Linked DNA regions of Mus musculus. The main gene of each other region encodes a partner of the protein of the gene in region 4 in a complex. Links are inferred from orthologs where the notes say so. Each region holds a gene or a part of one and is shown on either strand. Other genes may lie near its edges. The genes, in order: Gigyf1, Tars, Eif4ebp1, Eif4e2 and Gigyf2.

What was found.
Region 1: the proteins of Eif4e2 (region 4) and Gigyf1 are in contact, whole or in part, in a crystal structure (PDB 5NVK), measured with the Homo sapiens proteins. The link is inferred for Mus musculus from reciprocal best matches to the Homo sapiens genes EIF4E2 and GIGYF1. Residues at the interface, in NP_004837.1 of Homo sapiens: His54, Pro55, Leu56, Gln57, Tyr64, Lys83, Gln84, Ile85, Gly86, Val91, Glu92, Trp95, Arg96, Phe97, Tyr98, Ser99, His100, Met101, Val102, Arg103, Leu107, Phe113, Ile137, Arg138, Leu139, Arg140, Gly142, Leu143, Ser145, Arg146; in NP_001362694.1 of Homo sapiens: Leu36, Ala37, Asp38, Tyr39, Arg40, Tyr41, Gly42, Arg43, Met46, Leu47, Leu49, Tyr50, Glu53, Asn54, Lys55, Val56, Pro57, Glu59, Leu60, Glu64, Phe65, Ala67, Val68, Leu69, Gln70, Asp71, Glu72, Pro73, Leu74, Gln75.
Region 2: the proteins of Eif4e2 (region 4) and Tars are in contact, whole or in part, in a crystal structure (PDB 5XLN), measured with the Homo sapiens proteins. The link is inferred for Mus musculus from reciprocal best matches to the Homo sapiens genes EIF4E2 and TARS1. Residues at the interface, in NP_004837.1 of Homo sapiens: His54, Pro55, Leu56, Gln57, Val91, Glu92, Phe94, Trp95, Arg96, Glu149, Asn150, Leu153, Leu156, Gly157, Glu158, Gln159, Met161, Val203; in NP_001245366.1 of Homo sapiens: Pro51, Glu52, Tyr53, Ile54, Tyr55, Thr56, Arg57, Met60, Tyr61, Ile63, Leu64, Glu67.
Region 3: the proteins of Eif4e2 (region 4) and Eif4ebp1 are in contact, whole or in part, in a crystal structure (PDB 5NVN), measured with the Homo sapiens proteins. The link is inferred for Mus musculus from reciprocal best matches to the Homo sapiens genes EIF4E2 and EIF4EBP1. Residues at the interface, in NP_004837.1 of Homo sapiens: Glu53, His54, Pro55, Leu56, Gln57, Tyr58, Tyr64, Arg66, Lys83, Gln84, Ile85, Gly86, Val91, Glu92, Gln93, Trp95, Arg96, Phe97, Ser99, His100, Met101, Val102, Leu107, Phe113, Glu149, Asn150, Leu153, Gly157, Glu158, Gln159; in NP_004086.1 of Homo sapiens: Arg51, Ile52, Ile53, Tyr54, Asp55, Arg56, Phe58, Leu59, Met60, Cys62, Arg63, Ser65, Val67, Thr68, Lys69, Thr70, Pro71, Pro72, Asp74, Leu75, Pro76, Ile78, Pro79, Gly80, Val81, Thr82, Ser83.
Region 5: the proteins of Eif4e2 (region 4) and Gigyf2 are in contact, whole or in part, in a crystal structure (PDB 5NVM), measured with the Homo sapiens proteins. The link is inferred for Mus musculus from reciprocal best matches to the Homo sapiens genes EIF4E2 and GIGYF2. Residues at the interface, in NP_004837.1 of Homo sapiens: His54, Pro55, Leu56, Gln57, Tyr64, Arg66, Asn81, Lys83, Gln84, Ile85, Gly86, Thr87, Val91, Glu92, Phe94, Trp95, Arg96, Phe97, Ser99, His100, Met101, Val102, Leu107, Phe113, Glu149, Asn150, Leu153, Leu156, Gly157, Glu158; in NP_001096616.1 of Homo sapiens: Leu38, Ala39, Asp40, Tyr41, Arg42, Tyr43, Gly44, Arg45, Met48, Leu49, Leu51, Phe52, Leu53, Asn56, Lys57, Ile58, Pro59, Asp61, Leu62, Asp64, Glu66, Phe67, Pro69, Ile70, Leu71, Gln72.

The regions. Positions count from the first base shown.
Region 1 is NC_000071.6:137,517,644-137,521,682, forward strand, and holds the start of Gigyf1 (GRB10-interacting GYF protein 1), read left to right. Parts: upstream 1-1,236; 5' UTR 1,237-1,308; coding exon 1,309-1,343; intron 1,344-1,439; coding exon 1,440-1,569; intron 1,570-1,666; coding exon 1,667-1,762; intron 1,763-1,862; coding exon 1,863-1,974; intron 1,975-2,093; coding exon 2,094-2,202; intron 2,203-2,384; coding exon 2,385-2,425; intron 2,426-2,568; coding exon 2,569-2,733; intron 2,734-2,903; coding exon 2,904-3,157; coding exon of another isoform or gene 3,158-3,241; coding exon 3,242-3,359; intron 3,360-4,039. UniProt on the Homo sapiens protein: May act cooperatively with GRB10 to regulate tyrosine kinase receptor signaling. May increase IGF1 receptor phosphorylation under IGF1 stimulation as well as phosphorylation of IRS1 and SHC1.
Region 2 is NC_000081.6:11,386,405-11,389,662, reverse strand, and holds part of Tars (threonine--tRNA ligase 1, cytoplasmic), read left to right. Parts: coding exon 1-87; intron 88-1,202; coding exon 1,203-1,365; intron 1,366-1,444; coding exon 1,445-1,582; intron 1,583-1,884; coding exon 1,885-1,962; intron 1,963-2,090; coding exon 2,091-2,191; intron 2,192-2,295; coding exon 2,296-2,400; intron 2,401-2,538; coding exon 2,539-2,611; intron 2,612-3,258. UniProt on the Homo sapiens protein: Catalyzes the attachment of threonine to tRNA(Thr) in a two-step reaction: threonine is first activated by ATP to form Thr-AMP and then transferred to the acceptor end of tRNA(Thr).
Region 3 is NC_000074.6:27,259,136-27,263,129, reverse strand, and holds the start of Eif4ebp1 (eukaryotic translation initiation factor 4E-binding protein 1), read right to left. Parts: upstream 2,804-3,994; 5' UTR 2,722-2,803; coding exon 2,580-2,721; intron 1-2,579. UniProt on the Homo sapiens protein: Repressor of translation initiation that regulates EIF4E activity by preventing its assembly into the eIF4F complex: hypophosphorylated form competes with EIF4G1/EIF4G3 and strongly binds to EIF4E, leading to repress translation.
Region 4 is NC_000067.6:87,216,910-87,220,419, reverse strand, and holds part of Eif4e2 (eukaryotic translation initiation factor 4E type 2), read right to left. Parts: intron 840-3,510; coding exon 725-839; intron 1-724. UniProt on the Homo sapiens protein: Recognizes and binds the 7-methylguanosine-containing mRNA cap during an early step in the initiation. Acts as a repressor of translation initiation.
Region 5 is NC_000067.6:87,325,799-87,329,801, forward strand, and holds the start of Gigyf2 (GRB10-interacting GYF protein 2), read left to right. Parts: upstream 1-1,199; 5' UTR 1,200-1,294; exon of another isoform or gene 1,295-1,309; intron 1,310-4,003. UniProt on the Homo sapiens protein: Key component of the 4EHP-GYF2 complex, a multiprotein complex that acts as a repressor of translation initiation. In the 4EHP-GYF2 complex, acts as a factor that bridges EIF4E2 to ZFP36/TTP, linking translation repression with mRNA decay.

The DNA.
Region 1 (4,039 bases), on a different chromosome or scaffold from region 4:
AACCCTGCTCCCACCTTGACCTTTTTTCTGAGGGGCAGTTGTTGATGTAGGGTAGGAGTTTAGGTCTTGGTTCCTATTCCTGTGGCCACACCCACCTGCTCAGAGCCTACCGTGAGTGGAGTGAGTACCTGTGGCTCTGGAAGTCCTGTCTGCTTAGTTTGTGCTGAAACCCAGCCCCCTCAGACAGATGCCCTAAGTTTTCTTTAGAGAAGTTGGCTTGTTCCAAGGCTTGTCATACTGCTTTATAAAATGGACCATTCCTCTATAGAACATAAGCGGCCCCAATGCCTGCCTGTCTTATTTTTTGAGACAGGGTCTCATATAGCCCAGGCTGGCCCTAAACTCTTATGTAGCCAGAAGTGACCTTAAATTTCTGAACCTCCTGCCTCTCTCTATCTCCCAAGTGTTTGGGATCAAAGCCGGGTGCTATATTCCTTGTTGGTGTGGTGTTGGGGGCAGAGTCTAGGGCTTCAAGTATGGTGAATAAGTGCCCCCCCACCCCCAGCCAAACTATATCCCCAGTCCAGTGATTGTTTCAGAATAGTCTTACTGTGTGCTGTCCCAGGTTGTCCCAGGAACTTGCAGTCCTCTTGCCTTTGTCTCCTGAGTGCTGGGATTACAAACATGGGCATTACAAAGCAGGCTTAAGTTTTGTGCTGAAAATCCTCACTGTATTCTGGGCACACTGGTTACCTCAGCCATCCCATGAGAGCACCTCTGACCAATGACCACATTGTCCCTTCTCCTGAGTGCACTGTACCCGGCAGCTGTGGGCCAGGGGCTGGGAGACTGTCTAATTCACTGGGGTAACCTCTCTCTTCCTCCTCTTCTCCCTAAGGATCTCTCCCAGATGTGAAAGTTTCTCCCAGGCACTTAGAGGCTAGAGCTAGTTGCTTGGGGATCCTAGTTCAGCGCAGCCCGGCCCCTGTGAGACCAGAGAGCCCTTGTTTCCCTGGACAGAACTGTCAGGTGAGTGTTGGGCCACCAGAGGGCGTCCCACTGAGCTGGAAGGGGCTCAGGCTTCAGTGTTCCCTCACTCCCTAGGACTCTCCCCTACCCTGACTCAGCTTTGGTTAACTCATGGTGTGAGTGGTCACCTGTCTGGTGTAGGTGAGTTCAATGCCAAAATGTCTCACCGTCTAGATGGAGGCCTGTCACTGGCCCAGCAAAGTGCTGGCGCCATGACTGATCTGCCCTGCACCAGCTTACTCATGACTTGTCTGTGACCCTACAGGTATTTGGACAGTACTCTCCTGGTCCTGTCTCTGCCATTCATCCTTGACCTTTGAGAAGCATCGAAGCTCCACAATGGCAGCAGAGACACTCAACTTTGGGCCTGAGTGGTGGGTCACTTAAGCTCTGGTCCAGGGGAAAAGCTGGTGTAGGGGTGAAGGGCCACGTGGACCTCCGTCTCCCCTTTTTTTTTGTACCTGTTTTAGGCTGAGAGCCCTTTCGAGTGGTGGCAGCGTGGCCTCTCCACCCCCATCTCCTGCCATGCCCAAATACAAGCTGGCAGATTACCGCTATGGGCGAGAGGAGATGCTGGCCCTCTATGTCAAGGAGAACAAGGTGAGGTTTGGGATGGAGCACAGCTCCCTCGCCCATTTGCCTTATCTGTGAGTTGCCTCTGAGTGGTTAATATATTGGGCCTCCTGCCCCATCCCAGGTCCCGGAGGAACTACAGGACAAGGAGTTTGCTGCAGTGTTACAAGAGGAACCGCTGCAACCTCTGGCTCTGGAGCCTCTGACTGAGGAGGAGCAGGTGGGGCTGGGCCTAGGGTGGAGGAGGGAGGGGCTGGGCTTGGGAAGATGGGGGCTGACTGGGTGACGGTCCTCACTGCCATCCCTGGCTCCCTCCTCAGAGAAACTTCTCGCTGTCGGTGAACAGTGTGGCTGTGCTGAGACTGATGGGGAAAGGGGCTGGGCCCCCTTTGCCTGCCACCTCCCGTGGCAGGGGCAGCACTCGGAGCCGAGGTAGACAGCGACTCCTCGTATTTTTTAGGGGAGGAGGTGGGCAGAGTTGGAGTGGGTGGTGGCAAGGATACAGAGGGACACTGGAGGGTCCCAGACCCAGTGTAAACCCTCTTCTTCAGGGCGAGGCCGTGGTGACAGCTGCTTTTACCAAAGAAGCATTGAGGAAGGCGATGGGGCCTTCGGAAGGAATCCTCGGGAGATCCAGCGAAGCCAAAGCTGGGATGACAGGTGGGGATGACAAGATGGAGAGAGACGGGCAGAACGGAGGAGTGCCACTGAGCTGGAATAGGGTGACTAGAGGGACCAGAGACACCCAGCAGGCCAGCCCTGATCAGAGCCCCTGGGTCGTGTCTACCCAGCCTAGCACCCCCTGGGGAAGGGTGATGTTTGACCGACGCCTTTCTTCACAGAGGCGAGAGGCGGTTTGAGAAGCCTGCAAGGAGGGATGGAGGTATGAGCGTGTTGATGATGGTGGCCAGCATGGTCGGGAGGCAGTGGAGGTGGGGTTCCCAGGTAGGGGGATGGGGGGGGAGCTAATAGGAGTAAGCTCTCTTGAGGTTCATCCATGCTTACTGTTTGTCTCCCCTGTGCCAGTACGGTCTGGCTTTGAGGAGGGAGGGGCTGGCCCAAGGAAGGAGCATGCACGCTCAGACAGTGAGAATTGGCGCTCACTTCGAGAGGAGCAAGAGGATGATGGCAGCTGGAGACTTGGGGCGGGACCCCGGCGAGATGGTGATCGCTGGCGTTCCACCAGCCCTGGTAAGATGGGGGCTAGGTGGGGTCAGGATATCCTGGCGATACTAGGGAAGAGGTGCCATGCACGCGAGGAACAAGAAGATCCCAGGGGAAGCCTGGTGGACTGGAGAAGGTGGGGCTTGGCTTGGCTGGGCACTAGAGGATTTTTGCCCTTCTCCAACTTTCTCTTTCAGATGGTGGTCCCCGCTCTGCTGGCTGGCGGGAGCATGGGGAGCGGAGGCGCAAGTTTGATTTTGATTTGCGAGGGGAGCGCGGAGGGTGTGGTGAAGAGGATGGGCGGGTTGGGGGCGGCAACTCTCACCTCCGGAGATGCCGGGGGCTCGATGGCTTTGAAGATGACAAGGATGGGCTCCCCGAGTGGTGCCTGGAGGATGAGGATGAGGAGATGGGCACTTTCGATGCCTCCGGAGCCTTCCTGCCCCTTAAGGTACTCATCTCAGGGGCCAGTGGGGTGGTGGCAGCTGCCCCCTGGCTGCCCTCCCACTGTGTCCACTCTGCCCTCCCCACACAGAAGGGCCCCAAGGAAGCCATCCCTGAGGAGCAGGAGCTTGATTTCCGGGGCCTGGAGGAGGAGGAGGAGGAGGAGGAGGAGCCGTCAGAAGGGGTGGATGAAGAGAGGCCTGAGGCAGGTGAGCCCTCATAGCGGTGCAGGGACAAGGCCTGAGAAGCTCGGGCTGGGGCAAGTTGGCAGAGATGTGTTGCTAAGCTGGCTGCTGACTGGCCGCCCATGTGTCAGGTCAGGCCGCTTAGAAACGTTCAGGCGGGAGTGGTGAGACGGTTTGGCACGTGAAAGGCTTGCCACCAAGCATCATGCTGTGAGTTCAATCCCTGGAACCCACAGGAGAGAGGGGAGAAGAACCATTTCCACCAGGTTGTCCTCTAGCCTGCAGCACGTGTGCTGGGGTGGGTGGCGGGCCGGGGCGGGCCCAGGCAGGTGTGCAGAGAAATCTTTGTTAGGTGTGAGCACACAGCCCCTCACCACATGTAGGTCCTCCCCTCTCTCAGCGCAGGACCAGGGCCAGCGTGCTTAGTGTGGACTGCGTGGTTCTCTATGTCTGTGCTCGTGCTTGGTTAGGGCTTGACCAGAGTCAGAAGGATAGACTCACTACCCAAGGTCACACGTGTTGACTTGCACTGCCTCAGATACCACCCCCTGCAGTTGTCTTTTCCTGTGTATGTGGGCAGGTCAGAGGACAAGTGTCCTTGCCTTTCACCTTGTATATGGTAGGATCTCTGTTCTTTGTCTGTGCCAAGCTAGGCTTACAAACTTAATGGCGGATCTCCTGTCCTTTCCGTGTTTCCATAGGAG
Region 2 (3,258 bases), on a different chromosome or scaffold from region 4:
CTGGCAGCACTACAGCGAGAACATGTTCTCCTTTGAGGTGGAGAAGGAGCAGTTTGCACTTAAGCCCATGAACTGCCCGGGACACTGGTATCAAGCGCTCTGTGTTTTTCTTTCTTTTTGCTAAACTTACCTGGATGTCTTTATGTTGAGTGTATGCTACATGTCTGGGTTGCTGCAGAGTTGGGATGAGGGTGCTGTGGCTAGAGTTATAGGTGGTTGTCAGCAGCCGTGTGGGTGCTAGCAACTGAGCCTGGGTCCTCTGGAAGAGTAGCAAGGCTCTTAACCTTTGAACCGTCTCTCCAGCCCTGCAGCTCTGCATTGATAGGGAAGATGTTCCTGTGCTATAAATCATTCTGGATTGCTTTAGCCCTTTGAAAGAGGCGTGTGTGTGTGTGTGTGTGTGTGTGTGTGTGTGTGTGTGTGTACATATACAGTATCAGTGTAGAAAGGAGACTAAGAAGAGGTCTGTGGATCCTGTGGAGAACAGAGTAGAGTAGTGGAATATCTATGCCATGAAGCAGAAGGGAAAACTCTGCCTTGGATTGAGAAAGGCGGATGAAAAGTGACTTCAGGGAGCTCCGAGGGTGTAGATGAGTGTGTTCATGTGTGCAGCTCTGTGGACAGGTCATTCCGGCCGAGCTGCTAAGAGAAGTGCCTTTAAGAATCTGACTTGTACACACCAGGGAAGCAGAGCCCTTCACTTAGTTCTCACAGCATTAAGTTTCTGAGGCACCCGGGCCCAACTAGAGCAAGCCTGATATTAGTTTTCAGTGTTAGAAGTAATGTGTGTGCAGCTAAAACTATTTCTTCATCAAGTCTTCCTAGTAACTGACCATAGTCTTCGTATGAATGGAAAGCTACGTACAGGGCCTGCCTTAGACCTCAGCGGTACATTTGCTTTATCCTCTCTTAGCCACAGTTGGTTGCTCTGTAACTCAGGCAAGTGCTTCTATTGCTCTGTGAGGCCTGGGGCTTGAAAGATGTTGCTTGTGACTGACTAAGATCAGGGGCTTTCTGACAGCCTTTCAAGCTGTTACATGTAATATTTGAGGAATTGTGTTCTTGTGAACAATCAAAATGGCTAATTGTATTGTCACCCGTGAGTCTCTGAAAGGCCTCTCTCTCAGGTGCTAGGCAAGCACTCTGCTACGGGCTGCATCCTTCACCCTGACCTTAGGGCTTTGCCTTGCTTTCTCCTTCAGCCTGATGTTCGATCACCGGCCACGGTCCTGGCGAGAGCTGCCCCTGCGGCTAGCTGACTTTGGTGTGCTGCATAGGAATGAGCTCTCGGGGGCTCTCACCGGGCTCACACGGGTCCGAAGATTCCAGCAGGATGACGCACACATCTTCTGTGCCATGGAGCAGGTATACTGCCCTGTGGAGCAGTGCTCTGACAGAAGGGTTACAGGTGAAGGGAGATAACCGTTTCTCTTTCTTCCTTAAGATTGAAGATGAAATCAAAGGTTGTTTGGATTTTCTTCGCACAGTATATAGTGTCTTTGGATTTTCATTTAAATTGAATCTTTCTACTCGCCCAGAAAAATTCCTTGGAGATATTGAAATATGGAACCAAGCTGAGAAAGTGAGTGCTGGTTTTGGTGTGTTTGAGAACTTACACAGTGCTAGGAAGTCTTCTTAGATAGATGGGGCAAAGAAAAATGGCAGTTTCTGGTGTCGAGTGAGGGAATGTTTTCTGTAAGGTCTTCCTGTCCTTCAGAGTGGACCCAATGCTTTCGGACTCTGTCAGCTCCTGAGCTGTAGCTTTCAAGCACGCTTTGATTAGGAGGATGGCGTGAAACACCCAGGGGCTTTATTCCGAATCAGGTGGGAAGAGGGGGCATTGCAGCTGAACGACAGCTCACATCCTTTCCGCTTTATCTGTAGCAACTTGAAAACAGTTTGAATGAGTTCGGTGAGAAGTGGGAACTAAATCCTGGAGATGGAGCCTTCTATGGGCCAAAGGTCAGTAGCCGAGAATACTCGGGTAATGCGAGTTCTAGTTGTGCGTAAGAAACATTACTTGGAGTTGGGAAGAAGAAAATAAAAGAAAGGTAAGAAGAGCTGATCATAACCCAGTGCTTGCTTTGCAGATTGACATACAGATAAAAGATGCCATCGGTCGCTACCACCAGTGTGCAACCATCCAGCTGGACTTTCAGTTGCCCATCAGGTTTAACCTTACTTACGTCAGGTGAGCTGCTGGTATCTGCCCTGAGCCCTCTGCAGGCTCTGCATATACATACACATATACATACATATATACATATGATAAAACAAATCCCTTTTCTTCCATAGCCACGATGGCGATGATAAGAAAAGGCCAGTGATTGTTCACAGAGCCATCCTGGGGTCGGTGGAAAGAATGATTGCCATCCTCACAGAAAACTATGGGGGCAAATGGTAAGGGTCTTCTGTTGGTTTTCTCATCCAGTTAAATCCAGAAGAAACGTCTCCTTCTAAACTACACGTAGGAAGTCGGGAGGGAGGTGATTCTAATCGGTCACGTCTAACACGCTCGCTGTTGTTTTTCCTCCCTAGGCCTTTCTGGCTCTCTCCTCGCCAGGTGATGGTGGTCCCAGTGGGACCGACATGTGATGAATATGCCCAAAAGGTAATCCTTAAGTCGGATTTTTCTGACCGTTTGAATCTGTTCTTAAGCTTTTTGCAGTGGGAATCTTATCATATAGTCAACAATGGCCTTGGACTGAGCTTCTTGTCCTAGTCCCTGAATAGGTGGTATTGCCAGTGTGTGCCACACACCCATCCTTGTAACTATGCTTCTAAGATGTTGAATTGGCGAGCCATGTCTCCTTGTCAAATTGCGGGCTCACTGCTTCAAAGACTGTAGCGTCTATGTCCGATAGGCCTGAGTGTTACATCTTTAGAGCTTTGTCTTTGTGGTTCTGTGACCCATGTATTTGCTTAGTGTTTCAAATATACTTGTCTATCTTAACATTTGGTGTTATAAAGAAATTAATTAGGACGCATAGCCTAAACTGTATTAGAATTACACATCCCACTGAAGTGCCTGATATTTGCTGATTTGTTCATTTGTTAATGTAAATTTCTTCAGTGGCTTAAACTTTTTCCATCTTGCTGTCATGGCTGGCCAGTGTCTTGCCCTTCTAGCAGTTGTGTAAACATCAGGGTGAACTTCACACCTTAAAGACCAGAACAATTAGTTCTGCTCTATGATTGCTTCATGTTAAAGAATCACACATGCTTAACAGGCAGTCAGTAAAGAAGGCTGGGCATGGT
Region 3 (3,994 bases), on a different chromosome or scaffold from region 4:
TCATGTAGAGCTTGCAGCCCCTTACAGGTCAAGTCACATGCCAAGGAGTATAGGAAGCTTAAGTTCAAGAAACCTGACTTTATGCCTGGATATGAGATCTACTTTGCCAGACTCCTAAAGATCTGGAAAGGCAAGGAAAAAAGCCGTGTGTGTGTGTGTGTGTGTGTGTGTGTGTGTGTGTGTATACATATATGTGTATATATGTGTGTGTGTGTGTGTGTGTGTGTATACATATATGTGTATATATGTGTGTGTGTGTGTATACATATATGTGTATATATGTGTGTGTGTGTGTGTATACATATATGTGTATATGTGTGTGTGTGTGTGTGTGTGTGTGTGTGCGTGTATGGGCTTTGTTTGTGTGTTGTTTATCCCTTTCCCTTGTAACTCCTGAGTACTCAAAATGGAATGTGAGCCAATCAAGCATATAATGGTTAGGCAGATGACTCAGTCCTGATTCAAGCTCATGGGCTTTATACGCCCATAGATCCAGAGGACAGAGTAGACCTCAGGGTGATTCACTTGACCTTGAACTCCCAGCTGGCCCCTGATACAAGTAAGAAAATTCAAAAGTTAGATGGATTTGCAGAGAATAGATGAGAGCAAAGAGAAATAGCCCAAAGGGTATTCAACAGCTGTTAACCCCGGAATTACCAACACTCAGTAAGGTGAGGCAGGAGGATCTCTGTGTAGCCCTGGCTCTCCCGTAACTCACCCTGTAGACCTCTGCACTCGGATTCCGTATCTCGTTGGGGTGCTAAGTGATGAGAAACATTCTGGAGCAAATGGGTCAAGCTTCTGCCCTTTAGCAGAGGCGACCTGGAATGAATGGCCTTTGGGAAAAGATCCCACTCCTTAAATTAACTGGCTTTGGCAGAAACAAGCAAGTCTTTCCTCGAGCTATGGACTGTGTGACACACAAACAACAACAACAGCAACAAAAATCTGACAAGGGCCAGCTGGCTTTGGGGACCTGACACTGCTTTCTTTCAGTTAAGAAGCAAATGCTACACTCTAAGGAAACCCCTTCCTCTTCAAAGACAACGGGAACTACCTGGTCTGCCAACGGACACTTCGCAGACCACAGTGAGAAGTGGATCAGAGTGCATTACAAACAGTACTGGCTATTGCTACCCAGCTAACCTGTTCATCCAGAAAGGGACGGGCAAGAGAGAAAATAAACGTTTCCCAGAGCCTTTAGGTCTGTATCGGTGCCTATAAAAAATAAAAATAAAAAATACACCCTGATTCACACCTCGCCTAAAAGGACTCAACTCTCTGTGAAACTTTGTGCTCAACACAAAGTTCTGCGAAAAGACAAAGGGGCAACAGCGTGAACTAAAAAGTGGCCAGCGGGGTTGAAGAACTCCAGTAACGGGAGGCCAGAAGCCTGCAGAAAACTTTTCCTTTGGGCCGTTTCTAATAAGAGGGAGCCGGCTTTCTCCCCCTGCCCTGCTTGCTACTTCTTGCTGAGTGTAGGAACTCAGCATGACGATGCACAACAGACACGTGCTCAAGCAGCGAGGCCTTGGTGCTGTGTCCTGAAGATCACAGAACCCAGTGGACACTGACTGAGCTCCAAGATCCCTTCATCGGTGCCTTGGTTCTGGGATCTGGCTGTGCTCCCTGGTGCAGGGACAGCTGCCCGAGAAAATAGGCATGTGGCCCGGCTGCGCCAGCAGTAGCCCAAGGTTCATCACCGCGCCAGGATTCCTCTTGTTTTTGAGTTGTAAGAGGAGTAGTTGGGGGAGGAGACCGGGGAGGGGAGAAGCGCAAAAGTGGGTGGGAGCGGCGCGAGGATTGGGAGGGAAGTAGTGAGCCACGAGGATTTCATCATGCAAACAGGCGGGTAGGTTTCATCAGCGTCTATACTGGGGCTCCAGGGCAAGCTGGGAATGCCTGGTTCCCGGAGGCCGGCCCCCACCCGCGCCAACTCAGCTTCCTCTTCCTCATCCTCCGCCACTTGGGCCAGTTCAACGCTGTGCCCTGCCCCCCAGGCCCGAGGAACGTGTTGTTCTGCACTACACCAGACGCCGCCCCTGCAGGAATCTCTCTCTTAACACAAGCCACAGGTGGCAGAGAAGCACCCTCAGCGTCCAGCCTCCATTAATGAGCGAGTGTCCAAAGCAAAGAGGGCTGCCTCCGGAAAGGTTAAAAAAAAAAAAAGTGTGCAGGCGTCACTTATTCCAAGGGAGATCAACTAAACTTAATCTCCAGGCCAGCCTCTTTCCCTGATCTTGTCCCACCCCAAACTGCCCTGACACCCACAGAGGTCGCCCTTAAGCACATGGTGGTCCTGGCAGAGTGCCTATCTGTATGCTCAGGGCACTCTGCCGTATCTCCCAGGAAAAGGCTAATAATGCAGGCAGTTTGCAGCCGGGTTCCAGACCACGCTCCACCACACCCAGAAGGCGAGCAACCGAGACGGTGACCCTTCTGCTTTCCCGACGCCCCTCGTCCGTTCTGGCCAGCTACCGAACCCCTCGAATGCCGCCCTCCCCGTCGCACGTGAGACTCCGGATCCCGACGTATCCTCCAGCCCCCCGAGGTCGCCCGTGACCCCGGCCAGCGCCTACCTCCCGGGGTGGTGCTGAAGAGCGTGCCGCCCGGAGTGGTGCTGTAGTCCCCGGGCGGGAGCTGCACGCCATCGCCGAGGGCTACGCGGCGAGTGGGGATGGCCCGGCTGGGAGTCTGGCTGCAGCTGCTGCCCGCCGACATGTCTCCTGCACGCCGCCCACGACCCTCCAGCAACCCCGCGGCACCTCGGCCCAGCCCTTCTCGTGCCCGGCCCGCCCCTTCCGCCTGGGCTCCACGCCCCCTGAGACTTGCGGTCCGCCCGGCCCCACCCAGCCCCAGCCCGCTGCCTGCAAGTGGTTCCCCAGCTGCTGACCTAGGCAGCTTCTGTCCTCTCCAGTGCAGGAACCCCAGTGTGGGCCCCTTGGGTTCCCTGGTTCCTCCCCGAGACTCTGGGAAGATCTAGGTAGGGATGACGGTGGCAGAACTCTCCGATTTGGTGGCAGCGTCTCAGCGCACCAGACCGCCTGCTTTCTATATTAGGATGTGACCTCTCGATCCCAGGCCGATCCTCAGAGAAGAAAGGGTGGGCTGATCCTTCGCCATTCTTAACGTTTCTACAGCTTTTACAGTTTTACAGTTTTTAGGAGTCAGAGCAGCGGCTGCACAGCGCACATTCCTGGACTTGGAAGGAGTAGTGGAAGAGTAAGAGGGACCTAGCCAGCCAGCTAGGAACCGAATATAAATCTGATGAGGAATGGGCAGGATCGAAGCTCTGCGTACTGTGGGCTGGGAGGATTAGAGTTAACCGGTCAAAGATCCGCATAGTACTTGGACTGGGTTCCACTCCAGCACTTTGTCTGGTAGTCACTAGGGAGGGAAGGGAAAATGCATGTCCAATCGGTTACAGTGTCTGTGTCAATCAATCTCCATATGGTAGGAAATGCCTATAATCCCGACCGTGAGGAGGCTGAAGCCCTAGGAGGATCCCAAGTTGACAGCCGAGGGAGGGCCAGAACCCTGTTCTCACTGTTGTCCGGGCTGGCCTGAGAGAACACACTGGGCCACCTTCCTCCCTTTGGGAGAAGCATGTTGAAAGGGGTTTTGCTTTTTGCCTTGTTTGGTTGTTCTAGAGGCCCCAGATTTCCTGGAACTACGATTTCAGGGAAGGGCCTGTTTATAAAGTCCAACATCCAAGTTCAGCATTCAAGTGGTCCACACTTGTCCCAGCAATGAGGAGACTGAAGCAGGAGGATTCTAGCCTGTGCTACCCAGCAAAACCCTGTCTCAGACACAGAAAGAAGAGAGAGAGACTTAAGCTGGGCATGCTAGCTCAGAGAAACTGAGACAGGAGCATTACAGAAAAGCTGAGGGCAGACATGGTTGTGGCGAGTTTGATGCACAGCCTGGGCCAGACATGTTAAGACGCTGTCTTAAACCGTGAAAGAGAGAGAGAAAAAAAAACACGGGGAAGGGG
Region 4 (3,510 bases):
TGGTGGCACAATCTTTATCCTAGTACTGGGAGGCTGAGACAGAAAACTGTCAGAGATCATCTTCATTATCAGACTGAGTTCCCGGCTAGTCAGGGCTACACAACCAGACTGTGGATTTTTGTTTTTGTTTTTTTTTAAAGTGTATTTCTTTATCACCTTCACAACTGAAAATAATACCATAATTTCAATTATTTGCAACCTTCTGAAGTCTGCTCACACAGTATACTCTTTGCTAGTTAGCTGATTCTAAGTTGCTGTAACACAACTTTCTGCCTTTCTCATAACACGATGGGTATTCATTATCTCAACATATGCCCACTCCAGTACCACCTCCCCAACATCCACTACTAAAGACTGGCATACTAAGGATTTCACTGTGACATTTCCACACATCTCTACCAGGCTTTGACCACACCCAGTGACCCATGTCCTCCTCCTTTTTACCCTCTTGCTCCCTCTCCATACCTTTCCTCTTTCTTCAGTGCTAGGGATTGAACTCAAGGCCTTATACTATATATACCACTCACAGAGTGACATCCTAGTCCCTGATCTTCTTGTGTATGGGTTTGAGAGTGTGCACAAGAGCACAGGGATGAGAAGTCTGTCCAGCCCCCTCAACCTTGTTTTAAGAACAATCAGAGATTCCAAAAGAGGGAATCTGCTATAGAGAGACTCCATGAGATAACCAAGGCTCACTACACCTGTATCATCACCCCAAACATACCTTCCTCTTGCCACTGCTCTGGCTCTTGTCTCGGTCTGTTTTTTCCTTCTCACCATCTTTCTGTGTGCTGTTTTCTTCATTCTGATCATGGTCTCCACTGTCATCATCTTTTAAGCTACATAGGAAAGCAAAATAATGTCATTCCATGACTAAACTATTTGAGTTACCTAACAAAGCCACAAGGTCATAGCCCAAGTCACTTGAATCCCAGGCCTGTGAGGCATATCTGAAAGGCAAAAGGAAAAGCAAACCAGGAATATTAAATAAAAAACTATTAAAAAAAACTATTAAACTAGCTACCCCATGAACTCTAGCGAACAGCTTTCTGTTTTCCAACAGCATAACAAAGCAGTTAAAGAGATGTTTTTTGTTATCAAAGACAAACTCGTAATGAGAATTTCTGGACAAATAATTCCCCTGACATCTGAAAGTTAAACTTGCCCATCTGTATACTGCTCCTTCCCATCTCTCTCCTAGCTGTCCTCACTCCACACCTTAGGCCATTATCCTTCTCCAGTCAAATAGGTCATCATCAGTCTATAAGCAGGTCTGATGTCAGTCTCTCTTCTCCATCCATCCTCTACACTTTCTAGGTGTGAGTCTGTTATTGAACCTGCAACCTTAAGATGCTCCACTGCCAACTTCCTAATTACCTATCCTCTAGAGTAGCACACAACACAAAGTGCTTTTCACAAAAATTTAGAAATTGTGTCTCCTCTCCAACAACTCTTCCCACTGGCAAACACCTCGCTTCTAGCTCAAGGTGCAAATCCTTCCTGCCTGTTTCTTCTTCAAGACATTGAGGTTTCTTTAGAGCAATATCATACTTCATCTCAGTATCACTGACACCCAAAACAAGATGACACAGAATAAAGGCTAAATGAAAACAAAAGGAGGCGTGGATATGTTGTCTCATAAGTAGAGTCAAACATGAAACCACCTATGACCCACCAGATGCAGACAAAAACAAGCATGTTAGTGCACAAAGATAAAAGTGCATTTGCTCAATCTGCTCAGCTTGCTCAGAGGGTAAGGGCTCTTGTGCCCAAGCTTGCAGACTGAGTTCAACCACGGGAACCTACACACTGGAATCTTTAATACCTAATGTATAAAATACACCTATAAATAATAGGATGAATAAGTCATGTGTTGGGGTACCTGCTCTGCCTAACAGGCAGCCATACTGCAAGAGATACTCATGTAGCCATTCCCTGTGATACAGATCTCCCCATCCCCACCCTGGTCAAGACCCAACTAGGTAAGGCATAGGAGCAAAGGGTAGTCTGGTCTGCCTAGTAACCTAGGCCTCAGAACCTTTTTTCAAAATAAAGAATTCTCTCTCTACATTGATTTCATCCAAGAGAGCAAAGACCAAGAATTTAGAAGCTAGGCCAGCTTTAGGGTCCATGAAAGAATCAAGACTCGGAGCAAAAGGAATAGGCAATCCAGAAAGAGAAAGGTGTTGGAACTGATGAGCAAGCAGAGCTGGACACTGCCATCTGTCTGCTGCTCAGAGGTATCACCAGTGCTTAGTAAACTTCCTTTCCCTTGGTTAAACTTGTTTTGCTTGGTTTCCTTTTCAAGTCGAGCCTGCCTTGGACACAAGACCCATGGATTAAAAATTACCAACATTTACCAAGCAGCTCACCGGGTACCAGAGTACCTGTCCTCCAAGAACTGAGGAGAGATAAGGTATACAAAGGCTCAACTAGGTGCAAAGGGCCATTCTGTTAGCATGTCTACAAACATTCCCTGCCTGTTCCCAATGAACCCCTTCCACCCTGCTGTGTCCATTCATTTGAACAAGAATATCTCATGGATTTTTCTACTGCTTCAGTCTCATCTAGGGACACAAGCCCTTTTGTTTTCTCTTCAGCTCCTAATTCCTACTACAGCCTCTAAAGTCACTTTACTAGAGTTTGGTTGAAGAAGGACAGTCACCTAGGACTTCTCATTTTTGCCAGCCCAAGAAAAGTGTTCTATTCCTTTCTTTTCTAGTGGTTTTCTTTTAGACACTACTAGGAAACAAAAAGAAAACAAAAACAGTTAAGGCAGAGAAGAAACAATGCTATTATCATTTTGAAGCCATCTCAGACTCCTTTCTAAGCCAGCAAATAGGAACCTCAATGGACTTCATTTTGTCTTTTTACGCCCTGACCTTTATTTTAGTTTTGGCTGTGCTGGTAATAAAATCCAGCACCTCCTTCACAGAAGGCAAGGACTCTACCAATAAACATTGCTTTCTCTCTCCTGCCCCCCCCTTCCCTTTCTCTCACATCTTATGAAAAGAGGTCTCTCTATGTAGCCATGGCTGTCCTGGAACTCACTATGTATACCAGGCAGGCACTAAACTCAGAGCTTCGTCTACCTGGGATTTTAAGAGTGTGTGCCCCCATACCTAGGCTGCTTTCATCTCCTCTCTGCACATAAGCAGAGACCTAAGCAAAGGCAGGCCTGCTTTTCAGAATCGGTTCTTCCTGGCTTAAAGCAGCAGCACTCTGCAGGCTAACCTATCCAATTCATGTTCAGACTAAGTGACACTTGGGTTAGCTTTCCAAGTTCCTGTCCAGGTAATTCCCAACACCGTCCGAACTAGGCAAATTCTGTGCAGGGAGGAACTTTAATTTTCCACTCTTATCTCTAGCAACACACACGAACATAAAACAAACATGTTTAAGGGATGGATCTCCAAACATCAAATTAGGTAGTTTAGAAACACTTAAAAATAGGCCAAAAGCTAATGACAGAAAGAGAACCATATAAAATAGGAACCAAATCAAGGCTGG
Region 5 (4,003 bases), about 110 kb from region 4:
TTAATGCTCTTTTATACAGTCTCTCTTTGAAAGGGAATCAAGACTCAGGAAGGGAGGCAGAGGAGGAAGTTGGTATATATATATATATATATATATATATATGTATGTATGTATGTGTGTGTGTGTGTGTGTATTTTTTTTCCAAGTGTTGAATCCAGGGCTCCCAAACGACTAGGTTGGGAGTCTGCCACTGTGTTCTGAAACTTAAGTTTATGTTGATGGGAAGACCTATGATAAATGCTGGAGGATATTTTGCAGTGATTGTGTGAAACTGAGTGGATCCCAAACACCAAAGGTAGTAGAAAGGCAGGAAAAGACTAATGGTCCCAGAAAGACCCGGGTGACTTGAAATGGTAGATGTACCAGGTTTAGCAAATCAAAGTATATAGTATGTCCAGCTAAACATGAGTTTCAGAAAGACAGCAGATTAATTTCCTGTATTCTGTATTGCCGGGTTTACTATTCGTTATCTCGCAACCCTAAAATGGGAAGGCAGTATATATAAGGGGGTTGTAGGTCCACATGTAGTGGAAGGGTGTAGTAACTTTTTTTTAGTTTTTCGAGACACGGTTTCTCTGTATAGCCCTGGCTGTCCTGGAACTCTGTAGATCAGGCTGACCTTGAACTCAGAAATCGATCTGCCTCTGCCTCCCAAGTGCTGGGATTAAAGGTGTGAGCCACCACTGCCTGGCTAGGTGTAGGAACTTTTAAAACCTTCCCAGCTGTCACATTCCAGTACTCCAGGATGAATTTCCAGTTCTATAAGAAAGGAAACTGCTTTGAATTTCAGCTTTACCATTTGCCCCATGATGGACCAACTGGCAGGAAAATGCTAGACCAAATGCTGTGGAAAAGTTCTAGCTTGGAAAACCAGCTCATAAATGATGTGGAGATTTTTGTACTGCAACCGGGCACTGGATTGGGTGCATCGGACGGTGAGTCATAGGGCCTCTGGCCAGGCTCCAATTAGGGACACCAGTTCAACTCTAGGGCCATAGGAGATGCAGCCAAAGGCCCCACTGTGCGCCTGCGCTACTCAGGCTCCGTCCTCGCCCGGCCCTGCATCCGGGTCTCAGGGAGGGGCGTGTCCGAGGGGAGGGGCAGGCCGTCGAGGAAGGGAACGATGTCGTGGGAAGCTGGAGAGCAGGGAGGGAGTGAGGCGGGGATGTAGGCGGGGCGGGGGGCGGCGCGGCGCGCGGGGTCACGTGACGTGCGTGGCGACGTGTCGGCCATCTTGTGTTGTTGAGGCTGAGGATTGACTTGGGTTCTGAGAGACTCCTGTCCCGGACCGCAGGTAACCAGTGGCTCGGTGTGTGTCTCCCCTGCCCGCGGCCATCCCGCGCCCAGTCCCCGCCATAGCGCCCCGAGCTGCCGTGGCCCGGCGCCCACCGTCGCGTCCCCGCCGCTCCGGCCCGAGCCGGCCGCATGGACACACTCAGGCTGCCCGGCAGCGGCCACGGCCGCTGCCGGCTGGGGGCGTCAGACCTGGGGACAGGGCAGGTGCGAGGTCAGCAGGAGCCTCCTCCCGTGCGAGGGTCCCGGCAGTCCAGGGAGCGTCCCGGCCGAGGGCAGCCCCCTGCTTTCGCCCCCGTGGCATCGCGGGGGAAGCCGAGGAGAGGAGGCGGGAGGCGGGGTGGGCAGTGTCAGGCCGGAGGGTTCGCCTTCCGCTGCCCGCTCCTCGGGGCTGGTCGCCCGCACAGCCTCGGGGTACCCCGGCTAACAGCTGCTGCGAGCCGACAGCTGCTCCTGCCGGCGCTCCTGCCCGCACCTGCCCCAGGGAGGTGCGCCCTTGCCTTCTCCACCGAGCATCTGGACTGGGGAAGACTGCTTCTAGGGCTGGAGGACTGGTCTTGAGCAGGCCCCAGGCAAGGTGGAGTCATGATCTGATCCTGGGACTGAGAGGCTTGGGAAAGTAGAGCCCCGGGCAGCCCCGGGGACCCGAATGTTCATACCGGCTTGAAATGGGCAAGCAGTTTCCCACGAAGCACTCTTGAACACTTTGGTTTTGTAGCTGAAATATAAATCAAGCCAGCAAGTAAGGAAGGGTGTGAAAGGAGCTGATTGTGTGACCGCGTTTGGGAAGCAGTAACGTTGCTTTGCATTTATCTAGTACGGTCTCCCCTCACCTCCAGTTTTCTCGAAAGTCAAAGCACTTAAACACACCTAGTGGTTCTATTAGGAAGGTAAGTATTCCAACATAACTTAAGAAATGAAGGGACTCAATCAGTGATGGCTTCCCACCTAGTCCCATCTACCTTGAATTATAGGTAATTATGTTTCAGAGTGTTGTATACAGGGATTGTAGTCTTCCTTATGTAGTTACTCCTCTTTAGTAACAAATGACTTCCTAAATTACAAAAACTATTATCCTACTTTTTGTACATGAGTTTTCATCCTTTTTTGTGGCTCTGACTGGCAGAATTTTTCCTTTTGGTTAGAACATATACTTTGTCTTCATTTAATGATATTTCCCTAATGTAGCAGCTTTTAGATTGCCTAGACTGGGATATGTACTTCACTGTCACATAAGAAGACACTAGGAAAACATTTAGAAGTGACATATGTCTGGAAAAATACCAACGTTGAAGATGTTGGTGATTTGCTAGAAAGAAAAAGACCATACCTTTTTTGGTACTTGACAAAGGATTTAGAGTTTTGTGGCTGGGGAAGAAGAGATTATGTACTGTATGCTGCCATTCTTGTCTTTTCCTTTCTTTTCTGTTTGACTACAAGTACTACAGTATGTAGTGTGAATGCTGAGGGACAAACATTTCTGTTTGTGTTGCGCTCACTTCTGGACATCTAAATACTTAAGTAAAAATATACAAATACTTCTTGATGTGATGATTGGGCTGTGTCCCTTAAATTGATTGAAAGTTGAAGTATGTAAGCTGAAATTGCATTTAAAGCTATCAGTCTGCTGCCCATTAATAACAGCAAAGCCTCCTATAGAATCTTGATCATCTCCCGCTTGTATGGTTAGATTTTATGTGATTTTGTGACTCTCTGGTCCTAGCCAGCAATGCCAGGGAGTATTGTACTACATACATATTGTTAACTCAGGAAGAAATCATAATTAGAAATATGAAGAATGATTTCTACTGAGTCCATATTGTTTTTACCTCATAGTAGAGTGCAAACTCTTGTTAAGTTGAACATTTCTGTGTAGGGACCATCTGTTTATGTAGGAGTAACGGGAAAAAGAAAAAGAAGAGAGATAGGGGGACTGGATAACAATTGTGGGAAGGGTTAATTTTTAAATTTAGTCCTGTGAGGAGACTTTACAGGTAAGCTAAAATTTGAGGAAACACCTGATAGGTAGAGGGCAGGGTCCTTCACCAAGAGGAAAAGAGGGCAAAGATCCTGAGATGAGAAGATAAAACTTAGGTGGGACCTATCTAAGGCTTGCTAGGAAGAGGACTGAGGCTAACTAGTCTGGGGAGACTGAAAGAAACTGATCAGATGTATTTACCCACCTCTTTGGCAGGAAGATGAGGTGGACCATTCACTGCTCTGGAGTCTTTTTTTTTTTTTGGGTGGGATGGGGTGGGGTGTTTCCAAGACAGGGTTTCTCTGTGTAGTCCTGGCTGTCCTGGAACTCACTCTGTAGACCAGGCTGGCCTTGAACTCAGAAATCTGCCTGCCTCTGCCTCCCAAGTGCTGGGATCAAAGGCGTGCACTACCATGCCCAGCTGGAGTGTGTGTGCGAGCAATCCAGGCTGACCTGAAATTGCCCTTCTCTTACCTCAGTCTCCCCAGTTTCTGAGATCTATGGAAAAGTCTTAAGAAAATCAGGTTTTATAGACTTGAGCCAAGATCCCTCCTTTCCCGTTCATTTGGAAAACTCGGGATGTTCATCTATTTCAGGAATTATAATGGATTTCTTAAAAGTAAGTTTTTAGATGTGATTGGTGTTAGACTGCCTGGAAATGCTTTTTAAAAGGAATGGCTTTTTGTTTTGTTGGTTTTGTTTTTTTGTTTTTGATTTTTCCAGACAGGGCTT